Linked DNA regions of Callithrix jacchus. The protein of the gene in region 2 purifies or fractionates together with the protein of the main gene of each other region. This does not show direct contact. Links are inferred from orthologs where the notes say so. Each region holds a gene or a part of one and is shown on either strand. Other genes may lie near its edges. The genes, in order: POLR3B and POLR3E.

The links.
Region 1: the proteins of POLR3E (region 2) and POLR3B purify together in Homo sapiens (affinity purification with mass spectrometry; 8 studies listed by BioGRID and IntAct, counting the BioPlex papers as one, with this or other methods). This does not show direct contact. The link is inferred for Callithrix jacchus from reciprocal best matches to the Homo sapiens genes POLR3E and POLR3B.

The regions. Positions count from the first base shown.
Region 1 is NC_133510.1:109,224,695-109,229,211, forward strand, and holds the start of POLR3B (DNA-directed RNA polymerase III subunit RPC2), read left to right. Parts: upstream 1-1,481; 5' UTR 1,482-1,556; coding exon 1,557-1,628; intron 1,629-1,794; exon of another isoform or gene 1,795-1,884; intron 1,885-4,517. UniProt on the Homo sapiens protein: Catalytic core component of RNA polymerase III (Pol III), a DNA-dependent RNA polymerase which synthesizes small non-coding RNAs using the four ribonucleoside triphosphates as substrates.
Region 2 is NC_133513.1:22,920,556-22,924,945, reverse strand, and holds the end of POLR3E (DNA-directed RNA polymerase III subunit RPC5), read right to left. Parts: intron 2,325-4,390; coding exon 2,199-2,324; intron 1,344-2,198; coding exon 1,287-1,343; 3' UTR 575-1,286; downstream 1-574. UniProt on the Homo sapiens protein: DNA-dependent RNA polymerase catalyzes the transcription of DNA into RNA using the four ribonucleoside triphosphates as substrates.

The DNA.
Region 1 (4,517 bases), on a different chromosome or scaffold from region 2:
TGCAGGCCCCAATTTACCAATCAGAAAGCTGAGATTGTTTTAATAAGCTCTCCAGGTGATTCTGATACACCCTAAAGCTGGAAAACCTTCTTGATAATGGAAAACAAAGACGACTTTGGCACAGACAACCAACCAACACACTTGAGCCAAACTTGAGAGCCTCTGCTATCTATAAATCACTTTCACAGTCCCTTCTAGGCTAGATGCTACATTGGTTGCAATCTGGTAATGCACAAGAATGAGACACAAGTTGTATCTTGTCGCTGTAATAAGTAAATTATAAGAACTTCAAAGGCAGGGTTCATTCTACTGTTAGTCTTTTACCCATTCTTTTCATATTTCAGATATCAGCGCAATGTTTAGAAAATACAAGCACTGAAATTTAGGTAGCTTATTAGGAAATAAGAACAATTAACCTGGTGCAAGAGTTCTACCTTTATGGGGGAGAAATTGGAAAGCCTATATGTACTTGCACATTTTCATAACTTTTCTTATAACTGTAAAATATACATAAAACTTAGCATTTAACCATTTAAAATGATGTACAGATCAGCAGCATTAAATACATTCACATCGTTGTGCAACCATCACCACTATCCATCTATAGAACTTTTGCATCTTCCCAAACCGAAACTCTGTACCCATTAATTATGGTGCATTTTGTCTCGTTTTTTTCTAACAGGATTTTTCTTTCTATTGATTTGTATGAGCTCATTTTAAATTAGAGAGGCCAGCCCTTTGTCATCTGCCAATTTGTTTTTTGTTAATTCTATTCGTTTTTAAAAATATGTTCATAGAATCACTAAATCAGGTTTAGAATATAAAATCCTCTATGAATTGACTGTGTTGCCGTCTTGAAAGCCTTCATCATCTCAATGTTATGAATATATTCACTTACATTTTCGTCTAAGTTTTTGTTAACATTTCAATATTTAAACCACATAGGATTCACTCAGATGTATTTTATCCCCAAATGGGTAATCAGCTCTTCAAACATCATTTACTAGACAGGCCATCCTTCCCCTACCGTCGTAAATGTCATCTTTTCATACTAAATTTCTCCATGCGTTGGTATATACTCGTACATCTTCCATTTAGTGCTTCTGAGAATTTTCAACACTATTCCATTACACTCATGTACCATTTATTTAACCAATCACCTTTTATTAGGCACCTTTTATTAGTTCAAGTTGCGTAAATTATGCGTTTACACATTTCTTCGGATTACTTTTTAAATGACAACCACTGTGTTTTGCTGGTCTCAAGCATCAGAGAATTGGCAAGAAATCTGACAGCTGCGGTTTAGAATAACCCGCGCCAGATCTCCGAGCTACACCAGAGGGCGCAGTTTCCCGACTCGGCTTCGGTCACATCCGGGTTCCACCGCAGATTCGAGCTGGGAGCAGGCGGAACCTTTCTGCTGCGTCTCTAGCCAACAAGCACGGCGGGGACAGTTTAGGCCTCCGCGCACCGTTCCCCGGGAGTCTTGCAGTTTGCTTGGGGCAGGGAAGGCGTGCGCGGAGGTTTTATCTGTTTCTGTCTCCTTCGTGAGCAGTATGGACGTGCTGGCGGAGGAGTTTGGGAACCTGACGCCCGAGCAGCTGGCTGCGCCGATCCCTACTGTAGAGGTGAGTGCCAGGCACGCAGGCAGCGTCAGCGGCCGAGAGGCGCCTTGAGGGGGCGTTGCCCAGAGTGTTCGGGCCGGCAAGGGGGCGGGCTTGCGGTTTCTGCGCATGAGCTGGGGTTCTGCGCATGAGCTGGGGTTCTGCGCATGCTCACAGCGTCCCGCGTGCTAGTCTTCACAGCCGGACTCCGCGTGCGCGAGTGAAGGCAAAGCCAGGAAGAGCTGTCAGCCGCTGCTGGGGTGGAGCTCTTCCAATATAGGTGTGCGTGGAGAGCACTGGCCCTCGCACTTACTTTGGGGGACGTATTGCATCTTTTCAGTCTTATAAAGGACACTGAGGGCCGGGGAGCTCAGGCCATTTGCATGAGGGACCACAGCTGGCTGTGGTGGTAAAACCAGATCTTCTGAATTCCAGGCTAGTCATCTTTCTTTTTAACTTGGAGTTCAAGTTGGGGTTGCAGGGGAATTTTAGTTCTGAGTATTTACTAAAGAATTATGCCTGTGTGTTTTCTGGGGGAAAGGCTCCATACGTTTCCTCAGATTCTCAGAGGTTAAGGACAGCTGTCCCACAGCGAGCTGCCTAATGAAGTGTGGCTGTCGACATATCTTGTTTTCTGATAAGGCACATGTTATAGTCTCTCTGAGCCTCAAATTCTGCATTGACGTGGAATAGGGAAGTAGAGACATGTGACCAGAGAAGATAGCAAGGGAGAGATTTCAGGGAGAGAGAACAGGATACTTGAAACCTCTTAGGCAAGACCATTGGATGTTTTTGAGGAAGGAAAGTAAATCCAGTAGTATTCGAGTGAAGAAAAATAGAGGAGAAGAGATAAAAGATGGGGGTTAAGTAAGGGTCTTGATTATGAAAAGTTTGGATAAACATCTGACAGGGCTTGGACTTTGTCTTGGAGCAAAACTTTTGAAGGGTTTAAGCAGAATAGTGACATGATCAGTAAATCTGTCAGATTAATAAGAACCTCCTTGGCTAGGTGTGGTGGCTCATGCCTGTAATACCAGCAGTTTGGGAGGCCGAGGCGGGTGGAACACTTGGGCTCAAGAGTTGGAGACCAGCGTGGGCCACATGGCAAAACCCTATCTCTACAAAAAATACAAAAATTAGCCAGATGTGATGGCATGCACTTGTCCCAGCAACTCAGGAGGCTGAGGTGGGAGAATCACTTGAGCCTTAGAGGTCACGGCTGCAGTGAGCCATTACTATGCTACTGCACTCCAGCCTGCGTGACAGAGTGAGACCTTGTCTCAAGGAAAACGAAACAAAACCTCTTTATACTTTGACAAGTTAAGGAAGTTGAATTAGCAGTTCATCAGATTCAGTCTATGTGTGCATGCAATAGGCTGCTGGATCATCATCAGGCAAAATTGTACTGGCCGAGTGCGGTGGCTCACACTTGTAATCCTAGCATTTTGGAAGAACAAGGCGGGCGGCTCTCTTGAGGTCAGGAGTTCGAGACCAGCCTGACCAACATGGTGAAACCCCATCTCTACTAAAAAAATACAAAATTAGCCAGGCTTGGTGGTGCATGCCTGTAATCCAAGCTACTTGGGAGGCTAAGGCAGGAGAATTGTCTGAACCTGGATGGTGGAGGTTGCAGTGAGCTGAGATCGCGCTGTTGCACACCAGCCTGGGCAACAAGAGTGAAATCCCGTCTCGGGGTAGGGGAGAAAAAGCCAGCCTTCACTGCATTAAAAGCCTGGTACGTGGTTAATCTGGAACATGGACTCTTGTCAGTTTGACTACAGAGTCTTCATCCTTAACTGCTAATCAGACTGCCTCTCCAGAGCGCTGAAGAAATAAGCCTGGGAGATTTCTATTTCTTGTCTGAATTTACACAACTATGAAGTGATCAGTGCCATAATTGCAGCCTTCTGATTCAAGAATAAAGATTCTCTTCTGGCACTCTCCACCATCACCTCTAAAAGGTCTTGAGTTCTTAATCTATGCATGTCTGAAATCTCATTTCCCACTGTTTTCCAACCCAGAACCACTCTTCTCTCTTACCTCCAAACTGGCCTACTTGGCACCTGACTTGTCCCAATCCAGTCTGTTCTTTGCTCTGCAGCAGAGCTGTCCATTTAAACACACAAACATGATTATATTGCTCCCTTGGTTAAAATTCTTCAATCTCTGCCTGCTGCTCTTAGGGCAAAATACTAGTGTTTACCGCGTTTGTAATACATTTCTGCAGTCTGGCCACTTCTTACTTCTGTAGCCTCCTTTCCCGTGATTCTCTCCGTCTCTCCCATGAGATCTTTCTACTCTGCTCACACAGTTCCTTCTGGATCTCTCACCCATTCCTATTTGTAGATTAAGTCCCACATTTCTATGATATAACTTCCCTAGGAAGGCCTTTTGTGATTCTACCAGAAGATGGTAGATCTCTGTACTTGCTGCCATTTCCTTTTAAACTGAGATATTAAAATATTTATTGAAACTTTCCGACGTCAGTGTTTTCTCTGAAACTTTTTCTAGATAGGAGCTCAGTTTTGCTTGAACTGGCCATGCCTGGTGTGTTTTTTTGTGCTGAGGGTAGCACAGCATCACGGTAGTATGATAGAAGAAACAACACAAGCTTTGCAACCAATTGATCACTTATTTGTTGAATAAATATTTGTCATTATTACTGAGTACTTACCTGGTGGTGTATTGTTCACAGGGTTTATACAAGTTCAAAAAATGTGTTTCCTGCCTCCCAGTGTGTTACAGGCTTATAGAGAGAGACATGTTAGCAGGTGGAATAACGTGTAGTAGGTACTGTGATACAGGTAGGAGAGGGATATGTTGGTGTTACAAATGGTAGTCAGCATGTGATACCTGAACTGAGTTTGCCAGATGTGGATGAAGTGTGGTGGTGGGGAAGCATTCCAGATAGAA
Region 2 (4,390 bases):
TTCTTGAGCCCGTCTCCAAGATGCATTATTTACCTGACCCTATCACTGACCACCATTACCTCATCCTACCTGCCCTTCCCCCTGCTTTGTACTAAAATAAAAGAGCGTCCAGGCACTCGGGCCACTGCTGGATTCGCACTTTGGCTGGCAATGGACCCCTGGGCCCAAACTCTGTTTTCTCTTGGTGTCTTGTGTCTCTTATCTCCAGTTTCTCGTCTCCGCACCAGCAGAGAGGGACTCATGGGACCCTGTAAGGCTGAACCCTATACAGATTCAGTGTTGAGGAAAGTGTAAAATACCAGATTTTGAAGACTTGATACAAAAAAAGGTAAAATATTAATATTTTTGCTAAATGTTGATGTTTTAGATATTTGGGGCTAATATGCTAAAATATTACCTTTTTAAACTATTTTAATGTGGCTGCTAGAAACTTTCAAAATTGTGTGACTCGCCCATTCCTAGTGGATGGTGCTGCTCTTTCTCCCTCCACTGGCTCCATTCCCTCTAGATCCATGTAACGCTTGAGTCCAAGATCGCCCTCCTGTAACCATTTGAAGATAGCACCATGATGCTAGTTTAGTGTTAGCATTTATTTTAAAAATACACAAAATAGAAATTTTTACATCAAAGTATGATAACCTCACTTACACATTGTTCCATACTTACCTGGTTTTGTTTGCATCTTTCTGCAAACATTAAGAGGAGATGGATTTGATTCTAATTTTTTTTGCTATGGTTCGTGTAAACAGTTGAGACTGCTACATAACGTAGGTTGTTGTCAAAGGTAAAGTGGCCACAGAATCCCAACAGTAGAGCAATTCAATTTGGTCTAATGAAATCGGTGGAGGTCTTAGCAGATAATCCAAGACTAAATATTGTCTTCTAGGCATTGTAAAAATTGAAAACTTTTGAGGTTTTCTTCATGTTGTAAACATAATTAGACCTTGTTGGCATTAAGTTTACCAAAAAAAAAAAAAAATCTTAAACCATGATTTTTATCATCCTGCCATGTCAGTATACACTCTCTTTATTATGAGAATGAAACCAAATAATAAGCAAAATACATCAGGAATTTCAAATTGTACTGCAAAGAAGGTCCCAGCTGGTCTCTTCTGGGAGTGATTAACTGAGCCTGCCACTGGCTGAGGATGATCCCTTCTGTCCACTGCACCATGAGATGGTCAGTTCCTCTTGCTCTGTTGTCTGAAGCAAGTCGAGGCTCTACTTCTGGTTCCGCCCTTCGTACTTGGGCTTGGATGTGCTGCGTTAGTGGTTTGCTACTACTGTCAAGACTGTACTGTCCCTTTAAGGTACCACATGCCACCATAGCTTACACAGCAGTCCTATGAGTAGAGAAACAGAGTAAGTGCAGATTTTTGCAGGAAAGGGAGTTAACTACAGTCTGTCCACAGTATCAACACTTGATTAATGATTAGTGAACAGAATACAAATGGGAAATCAACCACCATGGTTACTACCAGCCTCTCAGGGGTATTTTAAGAGTGAGGGCCTACAAGATACAAATGCTGACATGCCCAGAACAGGGTGCTTAAAAAATAGATCAAAACATAAAGACATTGTCATCAGTTTTCTGTCGCAGTGTTGCTGCAAATATGGTATTTGTACTACAGTCAGTTCAGAAAAGCATTATAGGTTGTACATTAGGTGCTTTCATATAGTAAACATGATATTCCTTTTTAAACTAAATTTAAAAATGGATTCTACTGAAAGTAATATATGGCTATGGCAACAATCAAAATAGTCCAAAATTCAAGGGGGAGTGGAGTGAGGATTTTCAGGTAGGCCCTGTCATGTTAGAAGATGCCAACCCACTGCCCAGCTTGTCCAACCCACCTTATTTTGTTATTCTATTTTGTTTTAGCAGCCTGAACCCATGTTTTTTAGTTTTTGTCTCTAGTGGTAAGTAGAAGAGAGGGATGAGAAAGGGGCCTCACTGGCCCAACCAGAAAGAGGAACTAAGCACTCATGGCTATAAACTTTCCCCTGTGACTATACTGTTTGAAGGGGTCAGTCCTCTTGCACATACCCCCTCCCTTCTTCCCACCAATGCCAATCATTGACTGACTGGGGAGGGGTCCCAGGGAAGCCTGATTTCATATACACACGAGTCCTTTCTACAGGCTGTCAGCCCCTTGCAGAGCCTTTGATATTGTTTGTTATGCACAAAACGAATGTACCTTCAGGACTTTATCCACCTCCTGTTTACTGAGATCTTCTCCACACTCTTGAGTCAACCGAGACTGGATCATGTTTCGGCGTACTCGGTAATTTTTGGAAAAAATTTCAAGCAAAACCTGTCGATGCTTTAGTAGCAAAAGCATGTTATTATGGGAAACAGTGATTTAAAAAGAGAACCATCCCCGAACAAGACACCCAAGCCATGCACCTAACTTTGTGTTGCAGTCTCTGATAAAACCCTTACCCAGCACTCCTGATTAAAGATGAGCCAAGTCATCTGTAGAGAACCAGCATGCCAGTGTACAGAAATAAAGGTAGTAATGCTGTGTGTGGAAACTTGAATATAAATAAAAATAAAGGTATATGCCAGCACAACAAAAGAACTGGTGAAAAGACATGAGAGGATGAGTGGCTTAAACATATTTCTGCAGGGGAAAACGCAGGAGTGTATCTGACTTAGCAGGTAAGCTGCCCAGAGATGAGAAGAGTGTGTCAAAACTGGTGTGAAAACGCAAACATGCCATGCATCCATGAAACAGGATGCCATAAAATACATTACACCCCAAAATAAAAATCAAATACAAAAGATTGAATTCACTGTCTAATATCTGTCATAAGAATTCTGAAAAAAAAAAAATTAACAGGATTTTGTAAGAACTCAATTGTCTAGTACAGTAATGACCCACACCAGAGCACATCTGAAATTGCGCTGATATATAGAATAATGAAAACTTCCTCAGTTTAGGATAAAGGAAAGAATATAGGCTAAATTTAAAAGACCAATTCTGAAAACTTAATGGACAACTCTCTTAAAGATGCTTCATGTATTACTGTTTGGGCCTAGAATTTTAAGAGGTAAGTTACAATAGTAACAAATAGTAATACATGAGGGTTAAAAGAAAGCCAGTTTAAGACATGAAAGAATGCAGACAACTCCTCTTTAGAAGCTAAAGCAAGGAAGAAGCAGAGATTCTAGAATTCAGCAACAGACATGGGGAAAAGCCAGTCTCACTGGAGAAGCTTCCAGGGAACTTAGCTTAATTAAGCAAAGTTATCACCCTTGGTATGTGTGTTCAGAATACACGTGTTCAGAACATTAGACAAGTGAAAACAGGAAGCAGTGAATAAGGAAATGCAATCATTGTATATTACTGATACTTGGCCTTAAAATGAACAGATTTTCAATTCATTCCATGACAATGCCATATATAAACAATGATAGCCAATTAAACTAAAAAATAGGTGTAAAGACCAGCCTGGCCAACAATGGTGAGACCCCATCTCTACTAAATATACAAAAATTAGCTGGGTGTGGCGGCACAAGCCTGTAACCCCAGCTACTTGGGTGGCTGATGCATAACAATCGCTTGAACCCAGGAGGTGTGAGCTGAGACGGCACCTCTGCACTCCAGCCTGGATGACAAAGCAAGAGCCAGATGCTGTCTCAAAAAAAAACTGGCATAACTTATCTTTACATCTCTACATTCTCCTAAAATAGTTGAGAGCTAAATCTCATTGACAGTGACAGGCCCATTGCTAATAACAAGCTGGTTTTTTTTAAAAGATGGGACAACTCTTTTAGTGGTATCTTTTGGTGATTTAAATGCCTATGATCCCAGTACTTTGGGAGACCAAGGAAGGAGAACTGCTTGAAGCTAGGAGTTCAAGACTAGCCAGGCCAACATAGACCGTTTCCATTAAAAAAAAGTAGTAATAAAAGTGGTCACCTCTAGGAGTGGCGGTCAGGTCAGGCGGTGCAAGAGCTTTACTATTAACACTTTTTACTTTTACTTTTGTTAGCAGTTGTCAGGGAAAAAGCTTTTGATTTTTAAAAAATCTGCATTTACTTTTTTCCTTTTGGTTATCAAAGTACTTCTGATGCCCTCTGTTCTGGCCAAAAGCACCCAAGCTTGCTCAGGAAAAGACCCAGCTCTTTAGATCCTCACCCTGCCAGCTGGCTCCCCTTAAGAGGCAGCTGGGGACAGAGAGCTCAGCAGGACCTCTGCTCACTCCCTTCTCACACCTTAGGAGCAGGACCTAGACAAGGTCAGACCAACTGGCATTTTTTTATTTTTGTTGAGATGGAGTCTTGCTCTGTCACCAGGTTGGAGTGCAGTGGTGCGATCTCAGCTCACTGCAATCTCCACCTCCCAGGTTCAAGCAATTCTCCTGTCTCAGCCTCCGGAGTAGA